Linked DNA regions of Daphnia pulex. The protein of the gene in region 1 binds, or shares a complex with, the protein of each later gene. Links are inferred from orthologs where the notes say so. Each region holds a gene or a part of one and is shown in the gene's direction. Other genes may lie near its edges.

Region 1 (5,250 bases):
ATCCCAAAATGGTTTTGGATTATCAGCAAAATAATTGTGTGTCAAAAATGATTTTACCTGGTTCTTCTCTACCGTATAATATTCCAATCGTATTATAGGCTGTAGCTAGCTTGTGGGTCATTCTTACCTAATTGGGAACACGTTTGTGAAAAAATTAATTGGCAAATTACCAATTTATTTTCGAGCTACCTGTAATCGAACGGACCATTTCCTTTGGGTGAATTTCGACCCCAAAAAGTAAGTTGCATTCAAACCACCTTGCCAGTCTTCCGGTGCAGGATTTTCTGTAGACATGGATCTAATAAAAATAAGAATGGAAATGAAATTCATTGACTATATTTGTATCAAAGGTTGTTGACACAACAAAAATGTCAACGCTCACACACCTTAACAAAACTTCTGCCTCGTCGTATCCGATGGGCTGAACAGGAATTTTGGGTAGTGGAGCTTCAGCTTCCGGCAGTCTGTAAGCGCCCTCTTATAACGTAAATATAACTGTTTTGTTAGTCTTATTGTGTTATTATTACTCTTGTTACATCCGCTCACTATACAGCTTTATATACCTAAGGCTGGGTACAGAGGGGTCAAAGGGTCGCCGTAACCCAACAGAACTGAACCACTTTGAACAGCCATGCCCGGAAGTCGCGTTGTGTTGGGATAGACAGATGTGCGCCCTTCCGGGGCGAAATCTTTGGGATCAGAAAAGAGTATCACTCCAAGAGCTCCTCCATCTTCGGCGGATTTCACCTGTAGTACAAATATCAAATGTTAGTAATAATTCAATACATTTTTAAAAATAATTGATTACGATATTGCCACGAAAAATCGCCCCATATCGAGCAATCACAATTCGACCACGAATGTCTATGCCGAGAGATTTCAAGTACTCAAAATCTTGTTTCCGACCATAATTTGCGTAAATGAGTTCCCCCTATGAAATGGTGTAATTAAGTTAAGTGTCATCAATAAAACAACGATAGAAATTTAATTTCACCTCGACAGTTCCGTTAGCTGAATAAGCGTTAAAATTGGGTTGAACTAACGGAGAGAATTCTTCGCTGGAAAAGAGTGGCGTCTGACGTCCTGAGGTGGTGAAGTTCACCTTGCCGTTGGAGTCGAGTAGCGAGACCTGATTGGGGTTGCTCATGTCTGGGTAGGAAAGCAGCACCTTGTAAGGAACCAATTGGACTTCGTCTAATCCTCCCTCGACGAAACGATCGCGCACCCAACTAGCCACTTCCAAATCCTGTGGAGTTCCAGCTAAATTCGGTATACTGCTCAAATATCTGTGACAATCATTTTGGGAGTTAATTAGACAATGAATCAAATTTGTCTTTTGATTAGCGATGATGTTGGACTTACTTGAGATATTCGCCAATATTTGATGCACTGAGCTCCTCCATCAAAGTGGCAGACATTTTCGCCTTCTGAGGCGACACGTCGTCCCTATCATTTCCGATAGCGTAACGACCGATGAGAATTCCTTTGTCAGGTGGAAAGATGAAGTCAAACCAACACATACAGTAACATTTCAAATGATTACGATACCTATGATAAGACAAATTACAGAAGCCGTGCAAATTAAAATCCAGTTGGGTTTTTGCGCCATCGTTTCGCTGCGATCACTTCTCCACACCCTTCCGTTCTCGTTTACTGTACCTCAAATAATAACGACGGTTTGAAAAGAAACAGGTTATTAAATAGCTGAAAATATGACAATGAAAGCACGGGAAGTGCGGGTAGAAAGTCGGGTTCGAGATTGCGTGTTCCATATGCAGCGGCACGCAAATACCTGGACAGTAACTAAGGTGATTTGACAAGCCAACCAGACCATCGGTTGCTTGTGGTTTAACACAAGACAGGTCGCATGCTTAACTGACGGGTGACTCTTGTAAAAAATGTAAACGCCATAGGCAATGAATACATTTCTTTAAAATCGCTATTACATAAATCTATTTTTTTTAAACAATTTTTTTTATTTTGAAAACTTCCCGATAGATGGTGTATAGTTTCACGCGTTAACCATAGGTGGAGCTTGTATTCATATTTCGTGTGAAAGCGTTGACAAACGCGAGGGATTACGGTTTGTAAATATTCCCCTGAAATTATTGTAAAAATGAGTGCTCCTATGAGCAAATTAGAATATCTGAAAAAGTACATGTCCTCTTCGAAAAAAGAAGAAAATAAAGTCAAGAAAAAGAAACTCAGGCCCTTACTGAAAGCCAAAGGGTAAGTCAGGCTTTTTGTGAACTTTAGACAATACACATCATTTTTTAATTTTAACTTAAGCTTTTTCTTAATCTAGTCAATTTGTTTTCATTTACTTATTAGGGGCATCAAGATCGTTGATGAAGAAATAGATTTGAGGAAGATAGCTGCAGGATACGAGAAAGATGAAGACCAAATTGACAACCAAGAAGATGCTCCTCTGGTGGCTGGGGTTGTCGATAATCGTTCCATAGAAATGATAACCAAACAAGACTTTGTGGAAAGTTCAAAGTGGAAGAGACTTGGTGTGGATGAAAATGACAAACCAAAATCCATGTCTAAATCAAGTGATCGAGATATTGATTCAAGTGACAGTCACTTACCAAGGAAAGATTCCACTGCCTTGAAACGACCAATCACAGTGAAGAAAGAAAGACATGATTCAGATTCAGATCCCAGTCCTCCACGTAGAAGACACGATTCTGATTCAGATGCCAGCCCACCTAGAAGAAAGCGCCATGATTCAGACTCTGATCCATCTCCACTTAGAAGAACGAGAAAAGACTCTGATCAAAGCCCACCACGAAAACGTCACGATTCAGACTCAGATGCTAGTCCTCCTCGAAGAACAAGGAAAGACTCGGATCAAAGCCCACAACGAAAGCGACACGATTCAGACTCGGACCAAAGTCCATTAAGAAGGCGTAAAGGCTCCGATTCCGACCAGAGTCCACCAAGAAAGCATCAAAATGCTGACGGTGATCTCAGTCCTCCGCGGCGGAAGAAAAACGTTGATTCCGGTGCCCAAATGCGCATCAAACCAGATCCAGACGGAGACCTCAGCCCTGAGCGTCCTAATAAATCAACATCACGCAGCGGAGGAGCTTCGGAGAAACTGACCAAAACCCTAGATGGAAAGATGGCCGGCCTTCAGACTGGCAGAGCTTTGCGTGAGGAGACTGATGCATTACGCAAGAGAGAAGAGGAAGCCTTCCGCAAAATGGACAAATCACTCACTGGGCAGAACGCCACGACTGCCATCCGAGCTGGCAAGCTGCGCCAAATTGAAGCCAAGCAACAGGTTGATAAAGAAAAAGCCGAGAAGATTGCCAAGCTGCAAGAAGCTTACCAAAAATGGAACAAGGGTCTTAAACAAGGAGAAACGCATTCGACGCAAGTTGCCGAAGCCATTCACGAAATGTCCAAACCGCTGGCTCGTTTCGCCGATGACGAAGATTTGGAAAGGTTGTTACGCGAACAAGATCGTGAAGGTGATCCCATGGCTGCTTACATGGCCAAGAAAAAGGTCAAGAGCGGTGGTGACGGCAAGGGGAAAGCCGCTAGACCTGTCTACAGGGGCCCTGCTGCTGCTCCCAATCGTTTCGGTATACTACCCGGCTACAGATGGGACGGGGTTGACCGCTCGACTGGCTACGAGAAGATGTACTTTGAAAAACAAAACAACGCCGTGGCCCTTCAGGAGGAAGCCTACAAATGGAGTGTATCCGACATGTGATTCCGATGATGAATTTACCTTGACTGAATAAAGCCATGCAATTACTTTTAGTAGCCAATGACGCCTGTCCTTGTTCTTAACATTTCCCTTTTTATTACCTCGACGGAATGGGGCCCATCCATCAACATTCAAAATTGCAGGGTTTTTTTCAGATTCAACGAGAGGCGCGCGGAGGAAATTCCATGCGGATGGCGTCAACACTTTGCACATTTTCCGAGTCGCGACTCTACCAGCAGTTCGTGAAAGTTGCCCAACCCATGTTGTAGAGGAGGTGCGGCTATTCATGAATCGTCCGTCGTGGTTGAATCGGAAAATTCTATCCGGAAGATGACACCCTTTCCGGCCTTGGCTGCCTTCAAATCATTTTTCTTCTGTTGTTCAGCAGCAGAAAAAGAAAAGAAAGAAAAGGCGTTGGGGTCGTTTCTGTTGAGTGTGTCGAGTGCGCTATGGCCAGATGGCGCTTTGGCTGAGTGTGTCGAAAGAGAAGGGAGGAAGGTCACGGCACGAAGTGGGCCGGCCGTTTTCAGGTGTGCCCTGTTGTCCGTGTTGTCTATGTTTCGGGGCTTTCTCTCTTCTCTTTTTTCTTGTGTTTAGTCTCCTCCTTTTTGATTCCCAGTTTATCCAGACCTTCTCTCTTTGCCGTCTCATTCTCTCTCTCTCTCTCACCACTGCTAAAGCCATTGGCCATTGGCTCGCACGACGAGACGAGAAAACATCACATCTCTTTTCGTCTTTTGAAAGTACCTACGCAGCCGCTCTTCTCCGAGCTTCAGTCTTGGTCGTAGCCACCTGGTAACACGGCCGCTGCTGGTGCTCAGTCTGTACCTCTTTGCTGTTGACTCTCTGGGTTTTTTGCCATTGTTGTGAAACGAGAAGAAAATTCCAGATTTGCAATTATAGAACTGTCGGATTGTTGTGCAGAAGTGAAAAATGCTGCGGATACTCGGCCTCGTTTCCCTCTTTTGCATCCTCTTCCAAGCTGCTTTGGCATCCAATTCTGAGGTAAGCACAATCATTCGAAAGAGTATTTTATTTTTTTTTCCCCATTTCTTCTAAAAAAGGATAGGCTTATTTATCTCAAAACGGTCACCAGTAAATCCTGTTAGGAATTTGTGTTTTTTTTTCTTCCTACCAAGCAGTGGCATCTATGATACGGGTGAAAATTCTAATCTTCTTCACGGCCTGGTCGTCACGTTAATTCTTTTTAGTTTGACCCATCTGTACAGTCGAAATCTTTTTTTCGTATGGAAATGTGATGGTTTGTTTTGTGTATACTTGTGTGGGTTACTTATTCCCTTCTCTGTTTCTTTTTTTGTTGGTATAGGAAAATGCGCTGGATATGAGCTTGGGCGAAGGTACAGTAAACACAAAGCATTTTATCTCGACAGAACGTTTCGAGTTGTCTAGAAATTTATTGATGGGATCTTGACGATGAATAGATGAATGCAGTATGATGGTATGCCGGGCTGGAAGAGAGTGTAAGGTGGGTGCCGATGGCGAGGCTGCTTGCGCTTGCCTGGCCACTT
Region 2 (4,110 bases), on another chromosome or scaffold:
ATATCAGCTGGCTGCTGAATTAATTCATTTTTTGCGCCTCTCTGTAATAACAGGGTAAATGTTTATTTTTATTTGATTTTATCCACACTGATTTGCATTTGATTTTGTGTGGATTTTTCCATGATAGTTTGGATCACGAATTCTTTAGCATGGAACAAATAAAGATAGATGAGCCTAGATGGGATCAGGCAACTTATCAAGGGCGAGCAAACCACTTCTTTACTACCACGAATCCGCTAAATCTGCTGTGCTCTGATGAAGAACTGGATAAGGCAAAAGAAGTTGTGACCAAATACAGGTGAAGTCCGCACATGGAATTTATAAAGATAATGATTTACAACTTACATTTTGAGCAGGAAAGATGGGCAACTAAATGGATTGACTGTTGCAGAATTATGGAAAGCCAAACATGTTTATGACTCTGCTTTCCATCCAGACACAGGGGATAAAATGTTGATTATTGGCAGAATGAGTGCACAGGTTCCATGTAACATGTTTATCACTGGTTGCATGATGACTTTCTATCGAACAACTCCAGCAGTTGTTTTTTGGCAATGGATTAATCAGTCTTTTAATGCCATTGTCAACTATACCAACAGATCTGGAAATTCCCCAATCACCAATCAGTACCAATAAATTAGTTTCCTTTAAATAAATCACTGAAAGTTATAATAATCTATTGATTTTTTAGACAATTGGGTACATCTTATGCACTGGCAACAAGTGGGGCTTTAGTCACTGCTCTTGGTTTGAATAGCTTGACCAAGGTATCAAAAATATTAACTTGATATAATGGACCATAATGTAAATAACTTTATGAGAAATTAATTTTTAGTCAATGTCTCCTATTATTGGGCGTTTGGTACCCTTTGCAGCTGTTGCTGCCGCTAACTGTGTAAATATTCCTCTGATGCGAATGCAGTAAGATAAACATTTTCTCGTCGCATAAGATAACTAATGCTTTAAAATACGACTGATTTTTTAGTGAAATTCAAAAGGGAATCTCAGTTTCTGATGAGAACGGAAATGTACTCGGTGAATCTTCGATTGCTGCCAAATGGGGTATCACTCAAGTTGTCCTTAGTCGTATCGGAATGGCTTCTCCTGGAATGGGTAATTCATGTAATACGATAGTAATCTGATAAAAATAAAACATCCAGCACAATAATATGCAGTCCTACCACCTCTGCTGATGAATTATTTGGATCGAAAGGGCTTCTTGAAGCGATTCCCTTGGTCTGCGGCACCTATTCAAGTTACTTTATGTATGAAACATTAACTATTTATCATGTAGTTGTAAACGGCCAATTATGTATTATTATTTGGCTTACAGGTGGCGTATTACTTACTTTCGCTACTCCAATGTGTTGTGCCCTGTTTCCTCAAAAAGCATCGATTTCGGTTGACAGTCTGGAACCAGAGCTACAGGTAATTTTTTATAGCGTTTTAATGTGGTTCTTGTTTTAACATACATCTTTTCTTTTTTAATTCAGGCAAAGATTCGAAAATCCCCGAATCCCCCAACTGTTGTTTATTACAACAAGGGCCTGTAAATTTGAGTCAATCACTGAATTACTGTGGACGAGTGCAAATATCTCAGTACAAGTTTCTTAGATCAACTAGAAAATGAAAAAAACAACAGAAAAACACATTTAATTAAAGTAACTTCCACAGTTTATTTTTTTTTGCTCAAAGTATATTGGTGTAGTTTCCATTCCAGTTGAGGTAATTGGTAGTCATTTTGCTATAGAAATAAACTGCTAAAAAATATTTTCTTACAGAATTGTAGCTGCTAATTTATACAATTAATTGAAGATCGTAATTTTTTTCCTGTTTTAATAAGGCAAAAAAGCCACAAGCTGTATAAAAAATTCCTTAGCGCGCCAGCGCCCAGCCGCCAGGTCTCGTCGCCGGTCTCGCAAAGCCGCCAGTTTCTAAATTCAATATCTGGCAAACACGCGTTCCTAACGTTTGGCATCGCGCATCGGACATTAAAAACGATCCAAACTTTCTTGGTGTATCACGTTTTTTCCTAGTTGCTTGAAGTTAGTGATATATTCATCAACGTAGATATTAGATATTAGTTATTTCAAACCAAAATGAGCAAGGCCCATCCACCAGAGTTGAAGAAGTATGTATTGTTGCTTAAGTTATATTTACATTTTTAATAATGATCTCTACTTCTTTTGTACAGGTACATGGATAAAAGAATGTCTTGTAAGTATTATTTTTTTGTTAAATTATTATTGAAAACTGTTTTGAAGAATTGTTTTTCACAGTGAAACTGAATGGTGGTAGGAACATTGTTGGGATCTTGAGAGGTTTTGATCCATTCATGAACTTGGTCATTGATGAAACCGTTGAAGAAGTTAAAGATGGTTCGAAAAATAACATAGGGATGGTGGTATGTTTAAAATTAACATGGCATACATAAATTCAAATACCATTAACTATTTATATGTAAATTTAGGTTGTTCGTGGAAACTCAATTATAATGTTGGAAGCACTGGAAAGAATCATGTAGCCTAACTGCTGAAAAATAAATGTCATCCAAATTGTAAATTATTTAAAACATTCCACTTTATTACTCTTTTCTTAGCCATCTTAGCATTGGGTTGAGAGGAATTAAGAATGAAAAGGTTACAAATAAACTGAAAATTAAGGAGTGTTGCAAATAAAACACCATTAGAAGAAATATAATGGCTGGAAATTAATGTTAAATTAAAATTAATAGTAAAAAAATAATGAGAATTCTAAAACAATTTTTCGGTAATGAAAGATTTCATTTATTGACGCTAATTAAACAAATTAAGCTTGATCACGTCAATCACGATGAGAGATTGTGCATGTAATATTATTACCTTATTTATATTATGTGGTATATATAAATAACATAATTCAGCGCCACTGCCAGAAGGTTAGATAGTTGTTGAGCTCGGAATTGTTGAACGCCATCTATGCTCTCCAGACGATACACAAGGGTGGGGCCTATATTCTGATAGACGAAAAATTAACATGAGAGTGACTAGGTCTGGGCAGAGCAATAGATGCCTGGTCGGTTCTCGGCTGTGTTGGCTTCCCTATCCCGGTTTTAGGGTAAACGACTAAACGTATCCCCGATTTTCAGACATTTTAGGGCGGAGCTTGTCAGAATTGTGAAGTTGAAACTGGAAATAGAGCCATCTAGGCTCTCAAAAGTAGCTGAGCGTAGTAGCTGACACACTCACTAGAGCGCTCATTCCAGTTTCCAAATCGGACCACGTTTACCCTGAAACCGGGATAGGGAAGCCAACACAGCCGAGAACCGACCAGGCATCTATTGCTCTGGTCTGGAAAAGTTTCTGGCAGTGTGGGCGGTGTGGGGAGACTCAAAACGACGACTTGGCAAAGAACTTGCTTTGCTGGCAACTCAGAGTCTCAAATCGTTAGTATTTTGTTTACGACCAGGTAGCCATTTTTCGGTGTCTGTTTCCGAGAATCATTTTTAGTTTTTCCAAATATTTCATTTAGTGGAGTTCACATTTGTTTGTGTTACTAGATAATTTCAATGAACCGTGGATAGTTTGAATTCATTCTTTCAATAATCATTAAATACATTTCACACTCCTTCCTCACAAAAAATATTACACTGAAGATATTACTTATGTTGTATTTCCCTTGCCGTAATAGACAATTAAATCTGTAATTTGTACGCATGCATACAGATGCCTTACATACGAATTACAGATTTTAAGATGTTTATTTTTATTAATTAATTAGTAGCAGATAGTATTCTACAAATCCAACAATGCATACATGTATTATATTTTATAACCACTTATATAAGAAAACATTACATTGAAACCAAAAATCTACATTGATGCAAACTACATTTTCAATAGATTTGGGAAATTGACACGAAAGCTGCTGGAAGTCGAGTGTAATTTAAAAATAACAGCTTGCGAATAAACTAAATTACAGGAAGAGAAAGGATACAGAATTAACTCTTGTTCCAATCGTGTCGTACAGACTTTCTCGATTTTTTCTCAGATTGATGTTGTAAGTACACGTGACCAATCTAGCGGTTAAATAATTAATGTAATTAATAAAAAAAATTGTGAAAACACAGTT
Region 3 (5,696 bases), on another chromosome or scaffold:
ACTGGATCGGAAAATGGAAAAGATGAAAATGGAAATTGCTGGTAACCTTCTTGAAATTCCGTAGGAATATCGAAGCAGCAAACACTGCCGATTCCCATTGCGAAAACTATTGATACTAAAAGTAACAGAACGTTCACGGTACAACATTTCTTCATTTCTATGTGTACAATCCACACCAAATTCGGTCGACGGTTTGTATTTTAGAATGTAACAACAACGAAATTTCGTCACAATTCCGCTTTTGAAGTATAACACTCAGTGTTTCCTGATAACGGCTAGTTCCGCGTTGGAAGACATAGCACGGTCGCGTAACTTGGTCCACTGAAGAAATCACGACTGGGAGCAACGACAAGTAACAAAAAAGAAAAGCAAGTCCGAAAGATTTAACGGCGAAAAGGGAGGCGCTTATACACAATGATCCATAATTTGATTGAAAAGCTATGATGACTCATGTGACGTTGATAGTTTTATCAAAACATTTCCTTGTAACTTGTGAAGAGACCAAACACTACCTCATTGCGAGGCACTAGGAACACCACTGAATGCCTACCGCTCGTGGTTGGATTTCGTAGACTTTTAATCGTAACATTTCTCTTCGTCATCCTTTCATTTGTTCTGCTCTCTCCTCACTTTCTCCTAGGTTCCGCAATTTCCAATGGTTTACCGAAGAAATCCAGGTCACGTCGCTATTAAACTAACGTTATACGCTGCATGGCTGTTTACGAAGATTCATCAACCATGGAGAAGCAGCCACGCAAACTATGCGCCCTAATACTTTCTATTCACAACCGTTTACACATCAATTACGCTTAAACACTAACAATACCATTCAGATGTATTTAAAATTATGCAAATTCCTCTGAAACTCCCCATTTGTATGCGCGGTTGTCTCAGATATATTTGTTTAAGGTTTACAATGATTGTTACGGAAAAACCCCAAAATAGGTGAAAAAGTCTAAAATTTGTCAGCCTGCCATACGTTCAGTGTGTCATGTCGCGTCATCGTCCGATAGGCGTTTCATCCGGCTTCATCCTCATCACGTTCACACGGTACTTGCGTTTCCTCTTGCTATTCGATTTTGTTGCGGTTGTTGTTCTGAAGCCTCCGTAAAGTTGCTTGCTAATTACATGCTAATAATAAGTATCGCAGCAGCAGATTCGTTTACCAAATTGGGAGAAAATAGAATTTGGAGAAAGCAGGCCATACTTTTATTGTTTGGTACATTGTGGTCATAGCTTCATCCATGACTTGGTTTGTCCTATTCCTTAGTCAATTAATAACCTTCAGCTAAAATACACAACTTTCCAAAAAAGAAACTGAATTTTCGTCTTTGCCTACTAAAAGTAGGTCGGGTTATTAAAAAAAAAAATTCCAGATTTCATAAAAGAAAATTTGTCAGGTTGATCGCGGTAAAGTTTAAGTTTTTAAATCTAATGTTTAAAATATATTTATTGTAATAAAAATACTCTTAGCACAGTAGAAAACAAGATACAAAGGCTTTCCTCACACTTTAGATTTTTCAGTTTCTATACCTAAAACAAAACGCAATTGAGATATTATAGCGGTAGGAATAGGAAGATGAGGAAAAAGGGTTTCTAGATCAAATTAAGGGTATGGAGCTATCCAGCAGATTTTTAATTTTTTACAGAAATGCAGATTTCAGTTTTGGGACATCACAGTTGAAATCCTGATCCCAAATTTTAAGAGAAAAATAATTAAAATGAATTTATTAACTAATTATTTCATGAGTGATAAAGAAATAGTTGGGAGAGATTTTTTGAAATTCCAAATCAGTAAATCACGAGCTTAGTTCTATGTGTGTCCTATAAGGAAATCTATTTTTACTAAATCCATACGATACAACGATAGTTATCGAATAAGACTGAAGATAAGTGAATTTTTCCGTCAGAAACTCAGAATTCAAGAGCGATAAATGTATGAGTATGGCCAGCATAGTATCAGGCAACTCTTATTTACAGTGCGTTGCAATCGTCTGCCACCAGTAGCGCTGTGAGTCGAAAGGATAAAATGGTTTGTTTGTTTAAAAAAAAACCAAACACAGTTCGCTCGAACTAGCAGCCAACAACTCCGAACTAGACATAGAACTGACATAGATGCTAGATTGCTACTACTACTAGCTTTGTCGAGCTACACATTACCTCTGCACATTATACACATCAAAACACGGAATTTTAATTAGTTTCATTTTGATTTTCTTCCTTTTTCTCCTCGATTTACAACAATGAGTAACATATACGTTCAAGAACCACCAACAAATGGAAAAGTTTGTATTCTTTTCATGTATCATTGATTGAACTACGTGCTAAAACGTAACTTTTGTTTAGGTTGTTGTGACTACTTCTCTAGGAGAAATTGAAATAGAACTGTGGAGCAAAGAATGTCCAAAGGCTTGCAGAAATTTTGTTCAACTATGCCTTGAAGGATTTTTCAATGGAACAATTTTTCACCGAGTGGTACCAAATTTTATTGCTCAAGGAGGAGATCCTTCTGGTAAAACTTAATAATGTGATCTGTTGTTATTTATATTTGATTGAAACAATTACCACCCCTTTTTCTTAGGGACTGGCCATGGTGGTGAAAGTATTTATGGGGAACCATTCAAGGTTACATAGTATTCATTTGAATAGAATTCATTATTTCAGTCTTTATTAACCTTTTACAATCTTTTGGTATTCAGAACGAAGTTCATTCACGTCTACGATTTGTCAGAAGAGGTAAAGCAAACATCTTCTGTGTTTTTATTACATAATGTACCATTTCAAACATCTTTTTAAGGATTGGTTGCAACGGCTAACACTGGAAACAATGACAATGAATCACAGTTTTTTTTTACCTTGGGTTCTTGTCCGGAACTGCAAAATAAGCACACAATTTTTGGTAGGGTTGCTGGGAATACTTTGTTCAACATGGTAACTGACAATTTGTTAATTACGCTGGGAACAAATTATTCAAGAAATTCTAATGTACAATTTTTTCTCTTTCTCATAGATCAAATTTAATGACTTGGATATTGATAGTGTAAGTATATTTAAATTTTGAAACTCAAATAATAAAATAATAAAATCAATAAAATCATAAACGCTATAGGAAGATAGACCTCGTCATCCACCTAAAATTTTTAAAACAGAAGTTATTTCTAATCCATTCCCTGACATTGAACCAAGGATTAGCCAAGAAAATATCAAGAAACCAGAGGAAATAAAATCTAAAATAAATAAAAAAAAGTATTAAGTCCAGCTATGTAATATTGTTATAACTGCTATAAGAGCTTGTGTTTGATTCTGTAGGAATCTTCAGCTGCTTTCCTTTGGGGACGAAGAAGAAGATGAAACAGATGTTCATCAGCCAACTAAGTCTTTTCGTGGGAAATCTTCTCATGAACTGACTAACGACCCTAAACTTAGCATTGTTCCTGCAGTCAACGTAGAAACGGGGTTAACAAATAAGTACGTTTAATAGAACAAGCCGTCAGATCATTTTCAAAGACTGTGTATGGTCTACATTCATATGTAAAATTTCCATGTCATATTTTCAGCGACAAACCGACAAAAATTGAACGGCAATTTGAAAAGGTTGTGCCTCAAACTGATTTGCAACCAGAAGTATCACCTGAAAGTGTAGATGTTGACATTTCGAACCAAAAGAAATCTGAAGCAAACAACAAACTGTAAGAAACAAACAAGTCATAACAATTACTTGATAGTTATGCTCATAAGTAAATGCTTTACTTTTAGAAAGCAAATCAAAGAACAGATAAGAGACTTGAAAAGGGAAATGAAAAACCCAAGTGAAACTCCTCAAGATCAAGAATTATCTAAGAAAAGAAAAATTAGCGACAGTGAAGAAGATAATGAAATACTTAAAGATTTTCATGAGCAGCAGAAGAAGTATGCGGACATAAAAACAACACGGCGAGGAAAGGGTAAATAGATCAATTGTTTAAAATATTTGTTACCTCATCATATCATCAACAAGTTTTAATATTCTATTTGGAATAGGCACGGACCGAGAAGCTGAAACCCTTAATTTCCTTAAAAAATTTCAGAGTAAGCTTAGCCAAACTCGGACAACGAAAGGAGGCGTTGATGATATTGATGACGTAAACGATGATGATGCATGGTGAGAAATAATTTTTTATCCCTATAAATTTGAAAATTGCAGAATTTCTTTATTTCTTTCTAGGTTGAATCACACGTTGAAATTCGAAGACAAAAATCCTTCGTTAGCCCGAGATGCTAATACAAAAAGTGATGATTGGTTTGAAATCTACGATCCCCGTAACCCCTTAAACAAACGAAGAAGAGAGGAATCAAAGAAGATCATGAAAGAGAGGAAATTCAACTAAAAACTAAAAATGATCTCCAGTTTTGAAATGCACATATAAAACTCACCTTTGTTTGTTAATCTCACCAATTTCTCTTTGATTCAACGAGCTTGAAAATCAGAAACAAATGTCACTTAGGCTTGCTGGAACATAAACTTGTGTGTCAATTGTAGCCAAAGTAGTCTGCACGCGTAAAGGAATTGTTATGTAAAGGAAAATTCTCCAAAATTTTTCGTGGGATCAATATAAACGGGATTGGTCACGAACGGTCACGAAATAACCGGGGATAAAAGCAGCGTGCCTGTGTCGGTTATCTGTTGAAACATCGGACTTATGCAAAAGAATCAAGAATAGGAAATTGCAGAGCTACTAAATGTTGCTAAATGTGTGACGCGTGTTTTTATCAAACCAAATGGTAAATGCGCACGACTAAATAAATGGACTCTTCGGGGGCGCTAGGGCGGGGGCACTGGAGACTTGGTCGAAGTTGATTTTGACTTCACAAAATTTATTTAAATGAATTAAACAAGGTTCTGTTTTCTGTCTCTGCTGTCTTCGTTTTCTCAGTGAATCTGGATAGCCAGATATGGAAGCCTAAAACCGGCCTATTTTCAATATAAGACTAAACTTAATTGATCATTCCTTTGATTTTTTGTGTTCGCGATGCCTCAAATACAAAAAAGGAAAAAAAAGTCTATTATATTCTCTATATATTCATATAATAGACATTCGAAGTTTGAAATCAGCTTAGACTTTTTCATTTACGGTGAAAAATGATTTATTTTAATGATTTGATGAAAAAGCTACATTTCCTATCGATAATTCTTTTTACGAGCCCTTGAGAGACTTTGTGTTTTCGTGATGTTTCACGATTTGCAATCCCGGATCCCGGTTATCTCGGTATTAAATAAAGAAGATAAAAATATGGACTTCGTGTGCCCTTCGTGTCGTTTGAATCGTCTTGCGATTTTGCACAGGATAGATCTTTCCGGATTCTATTTCCGTATTTACTCTGTCTTTATGGGAGTGTCAAATAATCGACTAGGCCTATACTCTGTTTGGAGCCTGCCCTAAACGCGGAGTAAAAAGAAAGGGACCGACAAAGGCAACAATCAGAGACAAGCAACCATCACGTGACTAGGCGGGGTTTATCGGTGCAGGAGAGATGGCCGTGTAGCAATTTCGTCTGCTAACGTACGGCGTTCCCATAGTTACCGGAACCACATACAGCAGGGCCATGTGGTTTTCCCAACTCACCATGTATGAAATATAGTGCCTACAGTGTGTCTACCTTAAAGTCCAATTACTATAATAGAAATCATCAATCAACATGCTTGTGCCTGGCCTAAT

Evidence for each region.
Region 2: BUD13 homolog (region 1) and probable small nuclear ribonucleoprotein G share a complex: the UniProt entries of both Homo sapiens proteins name them as parts of the minor spliceosome. The link is inferred for Daphnia pulex from reciprocal best matches to the Homo sapiens genes BUD13 and SNRPG.
Region 3: BUD13 homolog (region 1) and spliceosome-associated protein CWC27 homolog share a complex: the UniProt entries of both Homo sapiens proteins name them as parts of the activated spliceosome. The link is inferred for Daphnia pulex from reciprocal best matches to the Homo sapiens genes BUD13 and CWC27.

What each region holds. Positions count from the first base shown.
Region 1 is NC_060019.1:12,605,666-12,610,915, forward strand, and holds BUD13 homolog, read left to right. Parts: upstream 1-2,093; 5' UTR 2,094-2,116; coding exon 2,117-2,229; intron 2,230-2,331; coding exon 2,332-3,724; 3' UTR 3,725-3,777; downstream 3,778-5,250. Other genes in the region: glutamate carboxypeptidase 2-like, read right to left, coding at 58-127, 190-298, 387-477, 564-747, 809-931, 995-1,286, 1,363-1,483, 1,549-1,609; follistatin-related protein 1-like, read left to right, coding at 4,655-4,726, 5,049-5,079, 5,164-5,250. UniProt on the Homo sapiens protein: Involved in pre-mRNA splicing as component of the activated spliceosome. As a component of the minor spliceosome, involved in the splicing of U12-type introns in pre-mRNAs.
Region 2 is NC_060026.1:11,524,878-11,528,987, reverse strand, and holds probable small nuclear ribonucleoprotein G, read left to right. Parts: upstream 1-1,941; 5' UTR 1,942-2,099; coding exon 2,100-2,131; intron 2,132-2,194; coding exon 2,195-2,217; intron 2,218-2,279; coding exon 2,280-2,404; intron 2,405-2,470; coding exon 2,471-2,524; 3' UTR 2,525-2,562; downstream 2,563-4,110. Other genes in the region: sideroflexin-1-like, read left to right, coding at 150-298, 357-626, 692-767, 836-921, 986-1,113, 1,176-1,265, 1,334-1,428, 1,494-1,553. UniProt on the Homo sapiens protein: Plays a role in pre-mRNA splicing as a core component of the spliceosomal U1, U2, U4 and U5 small nuclear ribonucleoproteins (snRNPs), the building blocks of the spliceosome.
Region 3 is NC_060020.1:8,995,701-9,001,396, forward strand, and holds spliceosome-associated protein CWC27 homolog, read left to right. Parts: upstream 1-1,848; 5' UTR 1,849-2,243; coding exon 2,244-2,285; intron 2,286-2,346; coding exon 2,347-2,512; intron 2,513-2,581; coding exon 2,582-2,625; intron 2,626-2,699; coding exon 2,700-2,736; intron 2,737-2,797; coding exon 2,798-2,931; intron 2,932-3,010; coding exon 3,011-3,040; intron 3,041-3,109; coding exon 3,110-3,246; intron 3,247-3,309; coding exon 3,310-3,468; intron 3,469-3,557; coding exon 3,558-3,689; intron 3,690-3,756; coding exon 3,757-3,944; intron 3,945-4,020; coding exon 4,021-4,141; intron 4,142-4,204; coding exon 4,205-4,367; 3' UTR 4,368-4,412; downstream 4,413-5,696. Other genes in the region: trypsin-1-like, read right to left, coding at 1-155; ATP-dependent RNA helicase SUV3 homolog, mitochondrial-like, read left to right, coding at 5,677-5,696. UniProt on the Homo sapiens protein: As part of the spliceosome, plays a role in pre-mRNA splicing. Probable inactive PPIase with no peptidyl-prolyl cis-trans isomerase activity. As a component of the minor spliceosome, involved in the splicing of U12-type introns in pre-mRNAs.